Arabidopsis thaliana: one gene and its partner. The protein of the gene in region 2 interacts with the protein of the main gene of each other region in a pairwise test. Each region holds a gene or a part of one and is shown on either strand. Other genes may lie near its edges.

The links. The genes of interacting proteins can lie anywhere in the genome.
Region 1: the proteins of GG1 (region 2) and CNGC17 interact in a protein complementation assay, tested with the Arabidopsis thaliana proteins (one large-scale study listed by BioGRID).

The regions. Positions count from the first base shown.
Region 1 is NC_003075.7:14,853,848-14,864,407, forward strand, and holds CNGC17 (cyclic nucleotide-gated channel 17), read right to left. Parts: upstream 4,173-10,560; 5' UTR 3,933-4,172; coding exon 3,904-3,932; intron 3,693-3,903; coding exon 2,936-3,692; intron 2,852-2,935; coding exon 2,553-2,851; intron 2,449-2,552; coding exon 2,337-2,448; intron 2,254-2,336; coding exon 2,017-2,253; intron 1,942-2,016; coding exon 1,213-1,941; 3' UTR 847-1,212; downstream 1-846. Other genes in the region: AT4G30370 (RING/U-box superfamily protein), read right to left, coding at 4,896-5,426; AT4G30380 (Barwin-related endoglucanase), read left to right, coding at 6,639-6,738, 6,870-7,143, 7,236-7,242; AT4G30390 (UDP-arabinopyranose mutase), read right to left, coding at 8,377-8,417, 8,500-8,629, 8,943-9,059. UniProt on the Arabidopsis thaliana protein: Probable cyclic nucleotide-gated ion channel. Forms a functional cation-translocating unit with AHAs that is activated by PSKR1/BAK1 and possibly other BAK1/RLK complexes. Required for PSK-induced protoplast expansion.
Region 2 is NC_003074.8:23,412,907-23,423,466, reverse strand, and holds GG1 (Ggamma-subunit 1), read right to left. Parts: upstream 6,219-10,560; 5' UTR 6,205-6,218; coding exon 5,971-6,204; intron 5,460-5,970; coding exon 5,407-5,459; intron 5,267-5,406; coding exon 5,222-5,266; intron 5,147-5,221; coding exon 5,062-5,146; 3' UTR 4,486-5,061; downstream 1-4,485. Other genes in the region: TRM5 (zinc finger CCCH domain protein), read right to left, coding at 1,266-1,994, 2,065-2,844, 2,940-3,053; APG1 (S-adenosyl-L-methionine-dependent methyltransferases superfamily protein), read left to right, coding at 6,465-7,015, 7,110-7,416, 7,493-7,651; AT3G63400 (Cyclophilin-like peptidyl-prolyl cis-trans isomerase family protein), read right to left, coding at 8,032-8,299, 8,522-8,602, 8,685-9,026, 9,128-9,584, 9,673-9,833, 9,963-10,080, 10,158-10,196, 10,466-10,490. UniProt on the Arabidopsis thaliana protein: Guanine nucleotide-binding proteins (G proteins) are involved as a modulator or transducer in various transmembrane signaling systems.

The sequences.
Region 1 (10,560 bases), on a different chromosome or scaffold from region 2:
GGAAAATAAAATAATGTAGCAAATGCTGCAACTTTACTCAAAGACCTATTTCCTGTTTAATATATATTCTAGCCTTTTCTCTTTTAATTATTGTAATTATAGGCATGAAAAGGATGTGAAGATAATGATTTACGAATATAAGTATGTATTAAATTATGTTATAACTAAAAGGGGTCGCGGATCTCAACCTTACATGATTGAAACCTAATGTTGAATTTGAGCTTTTTGGAAAGGGGACATGAACTTAACTTCTCTAGTGAGCAACTACACACTATAAGGTACAACTACTATGTCATCTCTTAATATATGCATGCATGTTTAAAAATTTCACATATTAATAAACGATTCAAAATATTAATATATGTTACTATAATTATGATTGTTGAAAACCATTGTTTTCATGATTCAGTTTCCGTTCAATCTAACTTCTTGTGCCATACTATATTGTTATTGTCATTCAAGACCATAAAATTTATTTGTATATTATATGGGACAAGAAATTTTCAGAAACTTTTCAATATGTTAGTTTAAAATATTTACAACTTTTTAAATCGACTAAGAATCCATGATTACATTGAGCTGGTCTTGTGGCCATATTGCAAAAAGAAAAATCCCAAATATGTATGTAATCCTGTAATGTAGATTATGATTTGATCCGACATATCTAGGTCAGTAGAGAAAGCAAGTAAACATTTTAACTTTTTCCCATGGACCAAAGTCCAAACTCATCATTAGTATGATCTTATGTCTATTGATTAAGTGAGTCTACCTTTCTTTAAAAAGAAGCTTGTGTCGATAGCAATATGCAACATGCTCAAGAAAATATATTTTTTCTTTCTTTACCATCTTATTCTCAACGTTACAGTAAGTCAGTAACCACGGCATATAGGGGCTTTGACGAATGGGCTTAGACATCTTTTTACTTCCTTGTTGGTTCAATCAATTTTGCAAGGTTTGATGTGATTTGTACATAATCCACTTCAACTTCCTCATCTTTACATTTAGAGAATTTAGAAACGAGTTCTTTAATAGTACAACAAAACTAATTCTCCAAGCTTATATTACAAAAGATGTTTAAGTGTACAAACCAAAACCCGCCTTGAGTTTCTTTCTTTATGTCTCCCAAAGGAACAGGAAACTTACTCTGTAGTGTTCTTGTCATTAAGATCTTCTATGGAACAAAGTCAGCTTCTTCTCCTGGTTATACATCAGTCAATCATCATGCTCAGCAGAGAAATCAGGCTCCTCGGGTTTCTTAAACCGGGGTAATTCTACATCCTTAACTCTCTGAGCTGCAACACCGCGTCTTGTATTAGCTGCAAAACGCGATGCCAAAACCATAACTCCAAGGTTCATCTTTGTTCTAGGACTCTCCTCAACACACTCTTCTTCTTCTACTACTACTAATTCTTCTCCTACTTCTCCTTCTTCATTTTCCATTGATTCAATCGCAGTGAGGTTATTCTCCATAACTCTTCTCTTGTACCTGCGCCAAGCCGCTTGTATGAAGCAAGCAGCCCAAGTTCTCCAATGGTGAGAGTAGAATCTGAATGTATGTTGAAGCTTCTTGCTGTGTAACCGCCTAAACTGATTTGCAACAAATTTCAAATCTTCAGCTCGAAGAGCGAATGCTTCGACTTCAACTAAAGCCCTAACTGTTCTTGTAGAAGATGGTAAATTCAAGGTTGATTTTGGAAGCAAAGCCCAAGAAAGAAGCTCTTCCCCACAGAAATCTCCAGGTCTAAGTATAATCGAGTTGAAGAAACCGGTTCTGCCTCCATTGGTTGTGGAACTCTCGAGTCTACCTCTGATGATGAAGAGCATCTCTGAGATCAAGTCACCTTCACGTACAAGGTAAGTCCCTTCAGTACACAGAGAAGAAACCAGGCGCTCACATATCGCATCAAGCAGCTGATCATCCATTTGAGAGAAAAATGGGACCTGCATGATTCAAGATAGTAGTTAACCTAAAAGTTGAACCATTTGTAGGATAAACAAATCAATAGAAAAACTTACTCTTCGAACAAGATCTAAACATAGGTGACGTTGAATATCACGGCGAAGATCAGTGGGTAAACTTTGCAGGAGAACCTCTTCATCGACTCCTCTTGTTGCAAGCCACTTATACTGCTCATATCGCCTCACACGGTTTCTCAACTCTTCAGGAAGTTGACGATGTCTCATCCACTCCTCAGTGTCTCTCTTCTTCAATCTCCATTCCTCAAGCCGTACAGTCAAAGATTGCAGATATGTCTAACAAACAAAAGGCAAAACCCAAGAAACATAAGAACAAAAGCAGATACTTTTAGAACTTATCCTAACGCAGGAATCCATACCTGCATATTCCCAATGAGATGGGCAAAGAGGACAAGACCAAAGATTGCAATGAGAACAGCAAATGTGGTTTCGCCCATGAACATGGTCGTGGACAAATTCTGTCCATAAGAACTAGAATATGACAATAACAGGAAAATGTCATCAGATTCTAAAACTTGTAATCAAAAGGAGAGTAATAATTGGTATCAAAAAATTTCTATGATCTCTGCCATTACCTAAGCTGCTGCAATCCCCACCACAAACAGTAGAAATATCTCTCGAAGAACTGTGAAGACACAACGTTTTTCGTGATTGCATTCCCAAAGATCCCATACTTGAACTCGCCATTCCGTGCATCACAGAGTTTAAACACTTTTGTGACATTTGCCCAAGTCATCTGATTATTGTCATACATTGAATCACAGTCTAAGTAATATAGCTGACAATTAACTTGGCCAGCTTCACCATTGCATCTTGATTTCCAGCACGATGTATATCTATCAACCGATAATATATACCAGGCTGCACCAAGCACCTGTCCCAACAAAAACATTGTAGCTTTGATTATCATCACATTTAAGGAATGAAATAATGGAAGAAGAAGGAATGGGATTCATACATGACTAGCCAGCATGTATAGCAAAAGATTATAAGCAGCTCCAGCCCAAGCAGTCTTTGTAACAACTCCAGTTGCTTTAACAATTTGAGAACTTAACGGAATTATCAAATAGAATCTTGGGATGTATTGGAGGAGCACAATCAAAGCAATAGCATTGTTGTTATGATCAAACCGGTAACTTTTTGTAGTCGATATAACAAACCAGATAACTATCTGTGGAAGTGGTAACGTCGCAATGAGATCGATGATGAAGTCAGATTTAATATACCTCCAAGCAATAGCCTTAGGATCCATCACAAGCTCACCTCTACCAAACACTCTAGTACTTGAATTAGGCGCAATGAAACCAGTCCTAAACTTAATGAAAATGTGCAGCAAGTAGAAAAGATCCGCTATTGTCCTGAAGAAAGTAACAAGGATGCTTAAACTTGTATCAGTCCTTGCACAAGGATAGTTTTTATCTCCTCCTATAGCTGGGACAAAGAAGTACAACGGGTCGATGAAGAGAGCAACCATACATGAGACAATGAAGACCCAATTCCATTTCAAGACAATCTCACTTCCTGGATCAAGAATAGTCTTGTACCATGAGACTTTAGAAGATTTGGACTTAGAAGCATCAGTGTATCTAAGTCTATTTCCAGGTAAGAGATTATCAGGTCTTAGTGCTGAAGGTAAAGAGAGCTTATAAGATTTGCTCATTGGATCATTCACTGCCCATTTAGCTTCTTTGCTTTCTTTCCCCTCTGAGTAAAACCTACAAAGCAATACACAACTCAAATCTGTAATCTGAAACCTAACTAGAGATTTAAGTTAAACCCAGTACCCAAAATCGGAGCTTGAGCTTGTAACATCTAAAGAAGAGATAAATCTAAAGCAAAGTCTAGAATTTTTAATTTCTGGGCAATCAAAGTTGAAGACTTTCAGGAACGTAAGTCTAACCGACGGATGAGAGAAAGAAAACTTACATAAGAAGCTTGTCCTTCCTTAACTCCATTAGAAGAAGCTCAAGCTCAAGCTCGAGTAAACAAATCTATGCAAATTAGAATTAACAGAAGCTTTTAAAAATCATTTCTTTGATTCGTGTCTCTGACACTCTCTCACTCTTACTCTCTCTAAATCTGAGAAAGATCGTGTTTTTGTTTAGTTCTTCCGGAGAGGATTGGAAGAGGAGAATCACTGAGTCACGGGACGAGTCAGAAATCGGAGGGATATTTGTTTTTTTTTCTTGGGAATACTTGAGCCATCGGTATAAGACAAGAAAGTCAACACATTTGACTAAAGTGACATTATTTCGTTAATCAAAGTCATTATTAGTTTACAATACAAAACACTAATTAGACAATGTTACTTGTTACTTCACAAAAACACTTCTTTAGTCTTATAGTCAGATCCAATCACAATCACTTTCTCCGTGTGAGTCACAATCTCACATTCCAATCAGAAAACGATTCTTTAGCCTCCTTTATTTTTATGTTCAATATAAACTTTTGAATCACACACTTGAAAACATAGTTGACATAACTTTGGAGGTGAAGTAGGTAAATTAAAATCACATGAACCAAGCTTTACTTAGAACTTATACTTCATCATGGACAAATTGAAACAGAAACATTGATGATTAACCACTGAATCTCAAGTGAAATTATGAGAAATCATTAAGGTAACATAAGCAACATGTTTAAAGTGACAAATGGACAACATTTCTATCAGTAATTGACTAGATTGAATTTAATAATTGGCATGATAATCAAACCTCAAACTAAGTTAAATTCTACAGAAACCCATCATTCTCTTATTGGATCAAATTCATCAAACGGTGAAGAAACAAGCTTTCAATTGTGAAGCCGTGTAAAAAAAAAAAAAAGACACTGTACATGACTATTGATGAAAACCAAAATTGCTGCTAAATATGATAACAAACTAAACACACTTTCAAATCTAATTATAAAACCACCGATCAAAAAATTTCACCTTGTGGTCTCCATCTTCTTCCTTCTTCAAATCTATAAACCCTATCCCTACAAATCGGACAAGTCGAGACTTTAATCAACCACAAGTCCACACACTTTCGGTGAAACACATGTCCACATCGAGGCAGCTTCCGACACCACTGTCCTTGTCTAAATCCATCGATACAAACAACACAATCATCGCCTCCGTACTCTGAACTAGGCTCACAATACTTGAATTGAGGAAGCCTCTTCACGCATCTTGGAGATAACCCATCTGAGTATTCGTGACGGCGATGGCGGCGGAGACGGTGGCGATAGTTTCGTTGAAGAAACCAGTAGAAAGCGAAGAAGAAGGTGAAACCGAGAGACGTGAGGATAAAGATAAAAGCGGTTATAGCTACAGGGATCATGATTAGACCTATGAGGAAGTTAGAGAGAATCTTCGTCGGTAGATTCTTCGTGTTCGCTTTTGGCGGCGGTGGAGACGGTGATGGCTCGCGGGAGATTGAGCCATCGTAGGGAATCGTTATCGACATCGACTTGCGGCGGAGATTAAAAATATTCTCTTTTACGAATCAAACTCTAATACTCTGTTTTAGGGCTAAATAAAGGAGAGATTTTTATGGATTTTGAAGATCGAAAATTTATCGGATTCAAAGTATATTGTACAAAAGAGTTTGTCTGATAGATATTTATATGCGGGAATATTCGGACATCTTTTTTATATCAGTTTTTGACGATAACTTTTTAACTAGTTTTGGCCCTTATGAGAGGAACTCGTGAGCAAAGTCTTTTTTTTTATATACCAAATTTTTCATTAAATTGATTAAATTTAACTAGAAAGAAGAAGATTAAGCGTATATAAACACAAATACACAGACACGTTTTAAAACAATGGGGTTCTGATAAATTATGTTACTAAATTTTGATCATACAGAATGTAGTTTGGCGTTACAAGAAAACTAGAGGAGAAAACAAAGGGCGAAACCAGACTTCATTTAAGGATAAAGTATTGGTGATGAGATTATATAAAATAGGGTTCAGTTTTGGGTTCCAATTATTATCTCTGTCCTCTGAGCTTCCTATCTGGTAATGCCGAGTGGGAAGTGATAAGGACAATCCGACAAGGGCAGCTTCCTCGGTAACTCCATTCCTTATGTCACCATACCTACCTTTACATTCAGAAATTCTTTGCATCATTTTTAATATTATCTCGTTGTTTCTCACGTTTTATTCCGGTTCATTTTGCGGTTATGATCCGGTTATCTTCGTGGTTGAGCTTGGTTTAGAATAATGTCTCTTATCGTCTCGTTCGGCCCATTAACGCTCGCCTCATAACTGTTCCATATGTACTAGTCCATAAATATTGATTTCACTACATTTAGGACCTATAAAAGGAGAGTTTTTTTCCTTTTGATGAATTGTTTTTATGAGATTGTTCATATAAATTTACGTGGCAAATTTGATCAGCGTAGTTAGTAAACGTTTTCTGGAGTCTTTGGCTGTAAATTTGCTATCAAATGAGGATAACAATCTTTCTAAACCTTTAGTCAACACAGATAAGAAGAAATTAAATATAACAAATTTACAACTATACACATGTTAAAAAATGGGAACAGTCAAAGATATTTCAATGGCAAACAATTACAATACATGCATATTTAGAGTTAGTCATATAATATATAGCAGATATATAAATAGATATGTCACATTTCAAAGATAAACACTCTTACAAATAAATACGAATCATGAGTAAAAGTATTGTGTTTTTTTCTACCGTTCTTGTTTTTCTCTTCTCTTTCTCATATGCAACTCCCGGGATTGCAACTTTTTACACAAGTTACACTCGTAAGAATTTTTGTGTGTTTTACTACCAAAATTATAAAACAAATACAAACAACAAACTTATCTTATACATTTTCATATCAACCTACAGCGAAATGTTATAAAATCATTTTCTTTTATTTCATGTTTGATAGCATCAGCATGTTACAGAGGTACTCAAGAAGGAGTGATGATCGCTGCAGCGAGTGATACATTATGGGACAATGGTCGAGTTTGTGGCAAAATGTTCACCGTGAAATGCAGCGGACCTCGTAACGCCGTGCCTCACCCTTGCACGGGGAAATCCGTGAAGGTCAAGATCGTTGACCATTGTCCCAGTGGCTGTGCTTCTACGCTCGATCTTTCTCGAGAAGCTTTTGCTCAGATCGCTAATCCTGTCGCTGGGATTATTAACATTGATTATTTTCCGTAATTATTTCTCCCAATCTTTATCACTTAATATTCTTTGTTACTTTAGAAAAGCAGGATTTTAATTATGAGTTTGTTTATTTGGATTTCAGGGCCTAAACGTCGATGAAGCTATCAAGGAAAATAATGCTCAAGTCTAGAAAGTCCTAATGGAAAATGTACACACATCATGACTTTTGTATAGTATTTCAAAATATGAATAAAATCGTCGAGAGCTTACACAGAATAAGATAACCAATCAAAGTAAACTACCATGATAAGAAATACTTACTGATTTCTATTATTTTGATTCTCATTTTGAAAACAAAATATAATAACCATACTTGGTTTTTACATGTAACATAATCTGAAAATGACAGACATATGTGCAATTGAAAATTGGTACAACCATTTTCTTCACATCATCGAATTCGGATATGCAGAAAAAGTGCTTGTGACAAGTTATTTGATGGTTTAATTCCGGTGACAATTTATGTACACTCACATATACCAAATAATGGTTTGCAGGTAAGAGTTTTGCCGAAATTAGCCTGCTCTAACTTGGAGATTGAGTGAACACTCTAAATCATTAGGTATGAAAACGTGAGACTGCGACTCTGGTTATTCCAAAATGTATAAATCGAAGGTTTGATCTCAACAAATGATAGAAATATCATCGCACCTTGATGAATTCTTCCTATATATAATATGGTTCAGACTTCAGAGCCTTGTAACAACTAAAAATGACAATATGGTCACTACTATATCCCAAACTACTAAGCACAATTCAACAAAAACCTGAACCCCTACTAATTGATGGCTACTTCGATGAATCCAAGAATTCATCGGCTGCCAAGAAAAACCAACCCTGAAAGAAACCGAACTAACTCGAGCCAAATTACTCGATATTTATATAGTAAGAGGAAAAATGGACTTGGTGGAATTCAGATAACCACGCTATCAAAAGTAGAAACTTATAACAGAACTCTGCAGCAAACAAGAAGCTTCTATGATTGCATAAAACTTCATAAGAACGGAAGAAAGAAGAAGCTTATATATAATTTGACCGCCTTCGTTTCATATTTACACACAAAGAGAAGAAAAATACAGACTTCAATCTGGTAATGTATCTCTGCAGTTGTTCACATTGTTTTTTCTACCTAAATGATCCGAATACTGCAATCAGGAACTGACCTTTAAACACATAGGACCAAGTTTTCAAACTCGCTCATCGCGTAATCATTCACCTTTCGCCTATCGTCTAGTCCCGTGCAATCTAAACTTCTCATCACATCCTGCAGAAACAAGGATAGCTTTTTAGCTTCAAGAAGACATGTAAAGATCAGAAGGGGAAAAGAGTAACACTAAAAAACTTACGAGTAGGAAGGATCGGGGAAACGTTGATTTTGATTTTGAGGGCGTCGATAACAGAAAGAACTTCTTCGTTTCCAGATGCCATAAAGAGTCTCAGAACTCTCTCATTCAATTTCCCAGCTTCCAATGTCCTCTTTACATTACAAAAACAGCAATAGAATCAATTAGGAACAGCAATATCAATACATATGTAATGGAGCCAAAAAACAAAAACAACAACAACAAACAGTGATTTAAGAACAGATAAGAGATATCAATAACACAAACAACTGTTCCTCACAAAGCATATAGAGTAGTAGTATACTACGATTCTGAAACCCTAACCTCTCTAAAGCTTAAAACTTTCACTCAAAATCAAATGATGATGACCTAAAAATTCAAACTTTACACTAAATTCGAAAACCCAGAGCCAGAATCAAACCAAGTATTGAGATAAGGGGTTTTACCGCGAAGAGGTCAAGGACGATGTGATCAGGAAGATGGGAGAGATCGTTGATGCGAGAGATGTTTAAGACGGCGGCGTTGACGGTGAGGGAGAGCAGAGACGGGGGAGGGCTTCTCATTCAATCAGTTTGAGATGATTGGTGTTCCAGAGGTTGAATAAAACGAAATTGCTGAAAAGGCTCCGTCTTCGATTTGTATTTGGGTGTTCTTTGAATCCGCCGCCTTCTTTTCGTCGCAATGGAATCTGAATTTTCCACGATCTATAGTTGGTCGTTCAGAGACGTTTCCAGAAAAAAGCAAGAGTGCGCAAGGGGCCAATCTTTCCTGACGCTTTTTTCGCGTTTGTGTAATAAACGCGTAACGCGGCGTTTGTAAAAATCGCTAAATCTTTCGAAGTTTCGATCCTACCAATTAGAGATTGTGATAACATGTTTGTCTTTCAGTGAACGGGGCTCCCTAACGATGGGCCGAAGTTAAATTGAAAGCCATCGAATTTTGTTGAGTGTTAAAATGCTTTAAAACTACACTCTCAAGCCCACCAATCTGGATACGCGGGCTTGAATATGTTTAGTTTAGTTTCTTAATACCGTCGAATTGATGATGACAACATAAATATTGTTCGAGCGGCATACAGAAGTTTAAGACTATTGTGTCAGTCTAAACGCACCAAAATGAGTTGATCTACAGAGATACTAGAGAATGTTTATATTTATAGATTTTCTTCAGTTTTGAGATGACTACGTACCACTGCAGCACGAGTATACACAGTTGTCAATAAAATCGATGTTGTTTAAATTGTGCATAAAACCTGTTAAATGAGTCGTTAGGACTATTTAAGTGATTTTTAGTGGAAATCTCTTAAGGCATAACATAGCCTAGGTGAATATGTGTCTTAAGTATCTAATAGTTCTAACAATTCGTAGTTCTTAACAAAGTAGTTCTTAACAATTCGTAGTTCTTAAGTATCTAATAGTTCTAACAATTTCAGTCTTCATTTGAAGGCTATTAAGTTTTTGGGATGGTTTTGCTTAGGAGGAGGCCATTCTAATGATATTTTATAGATTTTATTTAGATGGACAGTTAAGCAAGGGTCTGAAATTTATTGGCAAAGCAATAAATGTTATCTGTATAGCACATGCACATGGGGGATTCTTTTTCCTCTTTATAAGGTCCAGTTTTTCATTTTATATATCTCCTAAATGTGTTGTATTGTTACGTTTTAATAATGATTCGTGAGAAAAGGTGTCGAATGGAGAATATTTCAAACAATTGACTAATCTCTTAGATTCAAATTTTAGGTTGGAATTATTAGTTAAGAAAAAAAGAAAAAAACATGTACTGACAAATTAGTTGTTACAAGATCGTGGGAGATCTAACTTAAAAGTTCATTGTCCCATTGATCCCAACCCTAAGATGTTTTTCATTATTTTCACATTGAGTATCAACGTATAATTCAAAACCAACTAATCTGTGTTTTTGTCTAATCTTGTATAAGAACTCTACCAGTTTTATGATCAAACTTTTTATCAATTATGCTTTTGGCTCATGGGTCTATCTTGCCAACATCTTTTAAATCAATATAACATTTTGTCTTTACAGATAAATTGCATCGTTACGGGA
Region 2 (10,560 bases):
ATCGGGCAGGTGGATAACAGAGAGGGACTCACTGCTTCTTCAGATAGAATCATCTGGAGTGGTCCATTTATTTTTATTACTACTTACTATCTCTTTGGCACGAGTTACTTTCAGTTTCTTCAAGATTAGGATCATTCTTCAATGGAGCCAGCAATAGTAATCAGAAAGGTATAAAAATGTTATGGAGAAGGATTAAAAAAGAAAAGAGAGAGAGAGAGAGAGAGACTGGTGACAAAAGGTGGCCCAGTGGAGATTGTGCACCCATTAGAAATCTCGAGTGTAGGAGTAGGGTCAAAGAGAGATGATGGTTTGACCAGTCCAGTTTTGAACAGAGAGTGAAGAAAGAAGTTGGGCTCTTCTCAACTCCATTGGTGCGGTGGTGGGCATTGCAGAATGAGGTGTGTGAACTGAAAACAGAGTTGGTGGAAATGGTTGGTCTCTAGAAGCAGAGGAGAAGCGACCAGAGAGCACTAGCGGGAGAGTCGTGGGGCATAGCTTGTCCCAAGCAAAATCTTGGTCCCAATATAAAATATGCCTTTGAACATTTGTCAGCCAAAGTGTCGAAGGGACGGCTATGGTGGTGTTGGAAGTGGATTGGTCCACGACTGTGACCTCTCTGCTGACTTGTCACCTTATACTATAATTGGTGCGTTCTTCCCACCTTCACGTGGCTTTGTTCCCCCATTAACGTTTTTTTTTCCACCTCAAAAAAAATAAAAGTGTGTGTTGTGTCTACCTCTCTCGTTTTCTTTTTACAGTTTGGAAGATATTATTATATGATTCTGTTTTTCAAAGAAAAAGACTACTGGAGTATGATCCGCTTTTCTTTGCATATTTTTGAAAATTACAAATCACAAGTTTTTCTTTGATCATCTTTTGCATATTTCTCTCTCTGCTCATATAAGTCAATGCCGAAAAGCCTTATTGGGTCTGAATGGGCCACTACTGAAGTAGATGAATGTTGGAGTAGACTATGATTAGAGATAAACGGTCCACTTGAAGCCCATAACACTTTTAAAGTCTTTATTAGTCCGAATACACCACACAAATGAGCAGCAGTTTGATTCAGAAAGAGCAAAAAAAAGAGTGTATGGTTTTAGTCTTTTAGACAACAGGCGCCAAGTCCCAAACTTGATAAATCACACATTTCACACAAAAAAACACACAAAAGAACTATCACTCTCGCATGTTTGGTTAGACATGGTATAGGTCGTAGGTTGGGTTTAGTTTCAGACTTGGGTCAGAGAATTTAGTCTAGTTTTATATCAAAAGAGCAGCCTCCTACGCAGCGAGTCGGACCTGTTAAGAAAAGCCAACTGGCGTATGGTCTCGCCGATGAGATCTTTGAATATGAGGCGTTCGACGTCAAGAACTGCTTCTGACATCTCCACCTGAAAATCTCGCCATCGGTCCTCCGACAAATCTCTTCCGAGGACCCCGCACACGTATCCCACAAGGTCATCTTCCTCCGTGGACGACTTTTTGTCTCTTATCTTCTGAAATTCAGACCAGATCACTTGCATCTTATTATCAGCCTCTCCTACCATCATCCACGGGGGCAAGCTCCTTCTCCGCGCCACAATCTCTTGCACTGCGTCGAAGATGAGGCGTCTTTCCTGAGCTGCGGCTCTGGAGGCGCATTTTCCTTTGAGGTATTGCTGCTTTTCCAGAAAGGAGAAGCTGTCGGACTCTTGTGGAAGGCAATCTGAGGCTCGGAGGATGTCCGAGATGTATACATATTCAGAGTCGGACGATGATAATATTGAGCCACCCCAGGATTCGTCTTCTTCAGCATCAGCAAAGTCAAGGGTGCGTTTCAGGACGGGGGACGGAGAAGAGTCCTCGTGGTAAATTGAGGCGTCAAGAACAGAGACGGGGCTCGGTTGTGAGTCTCCGGCCTCAGCAGCGGCCATTTCAGCAATGCTGTGGAGCAGCTTGTCGCATCTCTCCAATAAGGTTTTGCCTTGTCTGTTATACACATCCACTTTCCACATCTGCTTACAGAATTTGTATTTCATTAGCTGCCTTTTTGATAGATAAAATGTCGAGTAATGAATGAGGTACCTCTTCCTCGGCTAGAGTGCTACTCTGGTCTTCAATCCTCGTCTGGAGAGGTTCTGGTCTCCGCCAAGGGAGTGAAGAGACTCTCCTCTGTTCCTTGAGCGTTGGTCTTGGTCTCCTCCTATTGACGCTCGGGGAAATGCGATCCCGCCTCACTGGTTTGATCGGAGAATGATGGTCGAAGACGAGATTCCTGCTCTGATGTTTGAGTGAAGACGAGTGCAAGAGTCCTTTGAGCCTAAGAGCTTCGAGAAGCTGCTTGAGGGTTTCCAGATCGGTCGGGGGAGCGTCAAATCCACTCATTTTGGAAACTCTCGGGAAGAAATCACCGGAATCAAAGAAACTCTTTCGGCGTACTACTGAGGTTGGGTGGGCTCGGGCGTTCCTAATTGGAGCCGGATCTTGAGCTGCTCCCTTGTCATCGTGAAAGTCAAATATGTAGTCTCTGGTGACCCTGGACTCGGATGCAGATCTCTGGAGAGGCTGTTGGGGAAATGGCTCCAATCCCATGAGCCGTGCGATCACACTGGGTGAGCCGCGCTGGTTCTCAGCCTCAACCGCATCGGCTCGGATCTGTCTGTGTTTGAGGCAGCCCTTGGCATCCACGACGGCTCTGCTATCGAGGGAGAGCCTCGGAGCTTCTTTAGAGAACCTCCAAGGCCTAGAGGAAGAAGAAGAAGAAGAAGAAGATCTTTGTTGAGCCGGCGCAGGAGAGCGTAGCTCAGGGGTAGAGTACACACTCTGCTGATTCGTCCTACCCGAGGCAGATTCAGATTCAGCGCTCTGGAGAAACACAGACATTGTTGTTTTGTTGGTAAGTCAATTCATTGCATCCCTCTAGGAACAGGAGAAGAGGGAAAGAGAGATAGACAAGTTACCGGAGAGGAAGAGAGACGCTTATTAGGAGAGAGGAGACTGGGGCGATCGAAGATGTTGAAGAAGCCGGCCATGCAACCGCCGATTTGCTTCTCCAGATCTTTCTCTTTTGCCATTTTCTTCTGTTGGCTGTTGCTGCTGCACACTCTTCTCCCGCTTCTCTGCTTCTTTAAAGCACCCACTCCCTTACTCTAGTCTAAAGGATACTCCTCCTAACGTGCTTTTTTTTTCTTTTTTAAATACACTCTGACAACTCTGCATTCAATTTCCTTTTTTTTATTTATTTGTGTTTTTTCCTATCTGCTTGTTTTAGGAGTAATTTTGATTTTTGAGTTAATAATGGCTAAGTTTGAGTCCTAATAAATAAGTAAAGATCAAACCCCGCATATTTATTATCTTTACTTACCCAGCCCGTACTACTTACTTCTTCTTCTAGTCAATACATTATTTACTTACTCTAGTTCAGAGTTTACGATTCAATTCTGAATTCTTGTTTCAAGAGGAAAGAAAAATGCCACGTGGAAAAAATATGGAACGGAAGATGAGGAGATATGGACCCCGCTGTTGACCGACATCGACGTGGCAGTTTCAAAGTTGGGAATGCCATCATAAAGTAATGACCACCGTTGATACGCTCTCTTTCTATCTATTCCCAAGGCAGCTCTCTCCCTCTTCTCTCTTCTCTCTCTGCCTCTGCTTTCCGTTACGGTTGCACTTATCGGCCAGTTCAAGATTCTAATTAAGTTATTGCGTTTTGCATTGTTTATTTCATTCGTTTCCCATATGAAAACGTGAATGTGAAGAAGATACGTTACCACATTCTACTAGTGTTTTAGGGACATGGGACTTTCGTTTTTATGAGTTTCATAAAAACGGACCACTTCACTTACTCGAGATTTACAACTTTAACGGCTAACTTACTTATCCTAGTCATTCTCTTTATTTAATCACCCAACCAATGTATTGTATTCTATTGCCACGAAAAAAAAAAGCAAGGCGGGAACAGAGAAAAAGGGTTTGGCATTATGTGAGCATGTGAGTGAGGCTATAATGCATGTTTCAATGTTCAGGTTTCATCACGAGGTGAATTGTTTGAATCCCCAATATTTCTGTACTCTCTCTGACCAGATATGCTGCAGATGTTGTAACGTGCTTCTTCCGGCTGCTCAATCATTTTTCTTTTGGACCAACTCACATCTCTGTGTTAATTTCTCTTCTGTTTATATAACAAATTCATACTACAAACTTTGATCAATTTTTTTTTATTTATGGGAGAAGAAGGAGCTCTAATGAGGTCATCAACTTTGATCTTGACCAATGAGGCAATGAAAACAGATGACATACTACTGTATATCCAAAGGTTGTCAGAAAACCCACCTTACCAGTATTTGTTTACTCATCACAAATTTGAGGAATATTTTGGAATGCATAAACTATCTTTTTAGCTGTCGAATAAACTTACCGTAAATCACTTCTACTAATACCCTCTACATTTCTCAATTTTTTTTTTAAACCTCATAACTTGTTTTAATTTTTGAGACATAGAAAGAAAAAAACAAAAGGGGGTTCTACTTTAACAGACTGTAATAATACAGAAGTGGAGGAGAAGAGTAATAAGTAATAATAAAAAGACAACAGATGAGGCATGTGCTCTGTGTTCCATTATCGTTCTATCTATATAATAAACATAGGTATGTATGTATTCTGATCCTCGAAACTAGCGTGTGTGTATCATGGAGGGTGGATGTGGCCAAAAGTTATCTAAAAAGAAAAAAGAGAGACACACTTAACGGTCTTCAAGATTGTACCCACTTCCTCATTAGCTATTACTCTATTAGCCCCCAAATATCACTATGCACATTTCAGCTTCTTTCAACAAGATCTAGAATAAGAAGATGAGAAGCTGTAAGCCTGAAACTCCATTACTCGTATGTCAGATCCGGATCCCATACATTACATATACATATAATACTGTTTACGTAGGTGCAACTAAGCCGTTCTATGCAATTCCAATGCTCATTAATCTGTACGCTTTTTCTCTGCTACAGCCCCATTTTGGATCCCATGTAAAATGATATCCTAGCAAGAAACTAGTATATGTAACACATTACTCTGTCTAGCGAATCAAAGTATTAAGCATCTGCAGCCTTCTCCTCCATTTGGTCCTTCAAACCACCGGTCCCATCCTAAGTTCAAAGGTCCATTGGTTCTGCCAGCACCACAACATCCATCAGTTATTCAGTCCAAACCAACACTAGAGTTTCAAGGTTTAAAAAGCACTCACAGTGGCAACAGAGGATCGGGTCCTTTCTCGATGACAGATAGCAGCCTGCGAACCAAGGGAATATCAATTTGATCACCAATCAACGTACAAGTTTCAGTCAAATCCAGATAATATACCTACAGGAGCTAGCACACAGTTGCTTGCAAGCGTTAAAAAAAAACATAGGTTGAGTATCCCATACTTACTCCTCACACACGGTTGATACAATATCTGTGTTCTCGACCTCCTTCAACTCTTTCTGGATATAGTACATGAAACAGAAAGAGAGAGTAAAGCTATTTTTAGTAAGTGTTAGAGCTCACTAGTAGGAACAATAGGCAAACACATTATCTGTGCAACAGAGAAACTTGGGAGAAGGTTAACTTTTAACATGCCTCGATAGATGATAACCAAGAGAGAATGATACTAATTGGACTATGATCAAAAGTATTCTTGCACATCCCTAAGAATAAGATCAACAGAGAACCATTCCAATAGTGGATCCAAAGAGAACCCAGCAGATTTAGATTTTGGGAATACAATTCATAGAGTCATAAACAAGACTGACTGAAATGGTGCCACTTATTGTCAAGAGAACTACCATGCTCTTCTGATTGGAACAGATCTGCCATACTGGTTTTTGCTTTCACAGGAAACAATCTTAGCGACCTTTACCTAATTGTTGTAACAATTGATCTAAAAAGGATAATTGAGCTATCCACGAGAGACCTACGTCGGAATTTGAAAGAGATACGAGTTAGTTTAGCTACCTCCAAGAAAGCGACTTCCTGTTCAACGCGGGCAAGCTCTGCAAGGATCCTGTGCTTGCCCCCGCCGTGAGAAACAGACTCCTCCTGCTCGTAAACCACAGTTTCCTCTCGCATCCTCTCGCTAGCAGGTCGCAGATCTGACAACGTCAGAGAGAGTCTGGTCTTAGTCCGTACAAGTTTGAATTGTCGTCGAAGTCTCTCTCTCTCTGACTCAAATCGACTTTTCCCTTCCATTTGCAGAAAAATGCCAAAACGCCCAATACTATTATTTGGGCCAATTCTTGCAAATGAGCCCATGGGCTCAACAAAGGGATATGTGTTGTCGCAACAAACAACGTGACCGTACATAAACATGTGGTTGGAGTCAGTACTGACTCTGTTAGAGTTAGAGGGTTTAGTCACACTCTCATTCTCGTTTGTGTTTTTGATTGGCGGAGAATTGGTGATAGATAAGCTTCTTCTTCCCTCTTCTCAACTTGGTGGATCTGTCATCGATGGCCTCTTTGATGCTCAACGGGGCCATTACCTTCCCCAAAGGTTTAGGTTCCCCTGGTTCCAATTTGCATGCCAGATCGATTCCTCGGCCGACCTTACTCTCAGTTACCCGAACCTCCACACCTAGACTCTCGGTGGCTACTAGATGCAGCAGCAGCAGCGTGTCGTCTTCCCGGCCATCGGCGCAACCTAGGTTCATTCAGCACAAGAAGGAGGCTTACTGGTTCTACAGGTTCTTATCCATCGTATACGACCATGTCATCAATCCTGGGCATTGGACCGAGGATATGAGAGACGACGCTCTTGAGCCAGCGGATCTCAGCCATCCGGACATGCGAGTGGTCGATGTCGGCGGCGGAACTGGTTTCACTACTCTGGGCATAGTCAAGACAGTGAAGGCCAAGAATGTGACCATTCTGGACCAGTCGCCACATCAGCTGGCCAAAGCAAAGCAAAAGGAGCCGTTGAAAGAATGCAAGATCGTCGAGGGAGATGCTGAGGATCTTCCTTTTCCAACCGATTATGCTGACAGATACGTTTCTGCTGGAAGGTATCCTTTTCTTCTTCTTCTTCTTCTTCTTCTTCTTCTTCTTATAATCGTCTTCTTTCCGGTGGGTTTGATTGTGTGTCTCATCATCACACAGCATTGAGTACTGGCCGGACCCGCAGAGGGGAATAAGGGAAGCGTACAGGGTTCTCAAGATCGGTGGCAAAGCGTGTCTCATCGGCCCTGTCTACCCAACCTTCTGGCTCTCTCGCTTCTTTTCTGATGTCTGGATGCTCTTCCCCAAGGAGGAAGAGTACATTGAGTGGTTCAAGAATGCCGGTTTCAAGGACGTTCAGCTCAAGAGGATTGGCCCCAAGTGGTACCGTGGTGTTCGCAGGCACGGCCTTATCATGGGATGTTCTGTCACTGGTGTTAAACCTGCCTCCGGTGACTCTCCTCTCCAGGTCTTTTACCTCCCACTTCACCTTTTTTACTTTCTTCTCTCTTTGATACACTAAACTTATCACTCAAATGCTGCAGCTTGGTCCAAAGGAAGAGGACGTAGAGAAGCCTGTCAACAACCCCTTCTCCTTCTTGGGACGCTTCCTCCTGGGAACTCTAGCAGCTGCCTGGTTTGTGTTAATCCCTATCTACATGTGGATCAAGGATCAGATCGTTCCCAAAGACCAACCCATCTGATCCTTCTCTTCTAGGACATGATCATTGTATCATTGTAAACCCCTCTTGTGGTAAAGAAAGATTCGAGTCCTATCTATGAACATGCGGAATATCATTAACCTTCTTTCTTTACATGTATTACTAGATTTTCATGTTGAGATATCTATGCTACTTGTTCGATAAATTTTCTACAAACTTCGATTCCCAAACTCAATTCTGCCAACATATATCAGTCTCAATTTGATCAATGTTCCACGATCTGTAATAATGCAACTAAGGTAGAGTATTATATATCCGACCAACATAAAAAATATCATTACCTATTATTGCTTGCACTAAAACACGGAAATTAAAACAAAAACTCGCAAGTCAGCAGAGAAACCAATGGATGAGAGTGACCATCAATCCGCATAGCTAACCAGACCTCTCTTTCCTGGTGGAGAAGGTGAGTGAGAAGGGCTGAGTGATTCTGCAGGAGAGGTGCGTCCTCCTCTGATGGGGGATCTCTGTGGCCCGAGACGGGATTTCAGGTCTTGGCTAATTGGCTGCCTCTTTCTAGGGCTCTGGCTACGGCTACGATGCCTCGGACTCTGGCTCCTGCTTCCGTCTCTCAATCGTCTACGGTACCCATCTGGACTCCGAGAAGTGCTCCTTCTCCTCCGGTTGTACCTATGCAAGACAACACTCAATTTCAGAGGACATCCAACATTGCTATAAAGTTGCTCTTTTCAACTTTCAGCATTCAATTAGAATGTTTTGCTTAACCAAAATAATATCACAAAAAGGGTCGTTCTAGGATATAAATCTAATGCAAGTGGCTCTAGGTGCTGGTTTACAAGCTATATCGTCCCAAGCCAAAGCCAGAATCTGTACAGAGATAAGAAAGCGAACCTTGGAGGGCTCCTTCTTCTGGGTGGGCTTCTAAAGCGTCCCCTCGGTGAGCGCTCAGAGTAACTTCTGTTGCTCGGATACCTACATAATTAAACAAAATGAGGCTTTAGTACTATCCGCAGAGCTATCGTCCTTTGTTGTATGTATGTATAGATTAAGTTACCTATCCCTGTTCCTATCCTGAAAGTTTCTTCTGTCAGGCCAATGTCTAGGAGGAGAACGCTCAGGAGAAGGAGTATGGTACTTCCGAGCAAAGGAATAGCGTTCGGTGAACCCACGCCCCTTTCGGATGCGCTTGGGCACACCACTTGGAGATGGGCTTCTGAAAGATTTCCCCACAGTTTCCTCTGTTGGCTTCTCACGAGGACTTCTGCTTCCATTTCCAAGATCTCTCACAGGGCTCCTACTAGGACTTCTGTTTCCATTTCCAAGAACTCTCACAGGGCTCCTACTAGGACTTTTGCTCCTGCTGTTTTGGTTTCTCCTACGAATTGGGCTCCTGCTCCTGTATAGCAATAGAAAATGGCAAAGTTTGTCAGTGACCACAAAATCAGACCACCAAATTGCAGAAGCAAAGCTGAAATACATAAAGCCAGGGAGATAAACCTTGATTTCACTGAGTCATCCAAGTTGGCGTGTTGATCAGCGTTATCAACTTTCACTGACTTTATGGCTTTGTGGCCCACTTTCTCATCATCAGAACTGCTGCTACTCTCCGTGTCACTTGAACTATTCGTGCTTGGTTTTCTATCTGGCCGAGCTTTCTTTTTCCCGCTTCGTCCTTTACTCTTTCTTTCCCCGCGTCGGCCTTTGTGTCTTGTTGTTGACTTCCTCTTCCTATGCTTCCCATCACTGGAAGAACTAGACTCATAGGAGGAAGATGAATATGCTTCTGATTCCGAATCTGAATCTGAGTCGGAACTTGAGCTATATGAATCTGACGAAGAGTATCTTCTTTTTCGTTTTATCCTTTTCTCGTTAGATTCTTTTTTGCGTGTCTCCTTAGCTTCACGGTCAGATACGTCACCAGGAGAAAAGTTCTTGTTTGATTTTTTCGATTTCCCTAATAAACATTAAATATATCTGCATCATTATTCTAGAAACTCCATCATTATTATAGAAACTCCACATTCAAAGATTAACTTCATTACCTTTTTCTCTTTCAGCAGCATCATGTGCTCTTATCTGAGACGTTTCACCACAGTCTATTATTTTGACTGGGCTAGTAGGTTTCCCATCACTCGTCCCCACAAGTTCCATTTTCTTGATTACTGCCATCCCTTCAACGACTTTGCCAAATACAACATGCTTCCTACAATATGAGGATAAGGAAAATCAGGACCCTTAACATGCTTCCTTCCAAATGCATTAAACGTTTTGAGAGTCCTTTACAATGAACTTTGAATTTCTCAAAACAACAAAATCTAGGAACAGAGATTACCCATCAAGATGTGGTTGGCGTTTAAAAAGTATAAAAAATTGGGACCCGTTGGTATTTGGGCCACAATTTGCCATTGAAAGGACTCCAGCTCCATCATGGTCCAATCTAAAGTTCTCATCTGTAAAAGGATAACGGGATATTGAGAAAAAAAAAATCAATACCAGAAAGCCGTAAACAGAGAAACCAAAATTATACCTGAAAACTTCCCACCATAGATGCTCTCCCCACCAGTGCCTGCAAATCAACCAGAGAGATTATCTCTAATTAAGGCATTACAGCAAGAAAGACTTCATCCAGAAGTTGTCTCAGAGATGAAAAAGGGACCCCAATACGCTTTTCCCTAGTAACCAATTTCATTCTATAAACATATATACTAAGCTCCTTGTGTGTTAATTAAACTAAAAACTAGATCATGAGGTATCTACATCACACATATTGTGATATAAAGAAATATATACGGTTTGGAGATTTAATGTATAAAGGATAACAGGTTTGAAGAATACCATTCCCATTGGAAAAATCACCACCCTGCAAGAAAGAGAAGCGCTAATGAATAAAGAGTTTGCGAACCATCAAATGCATACAAAAACAAATTATA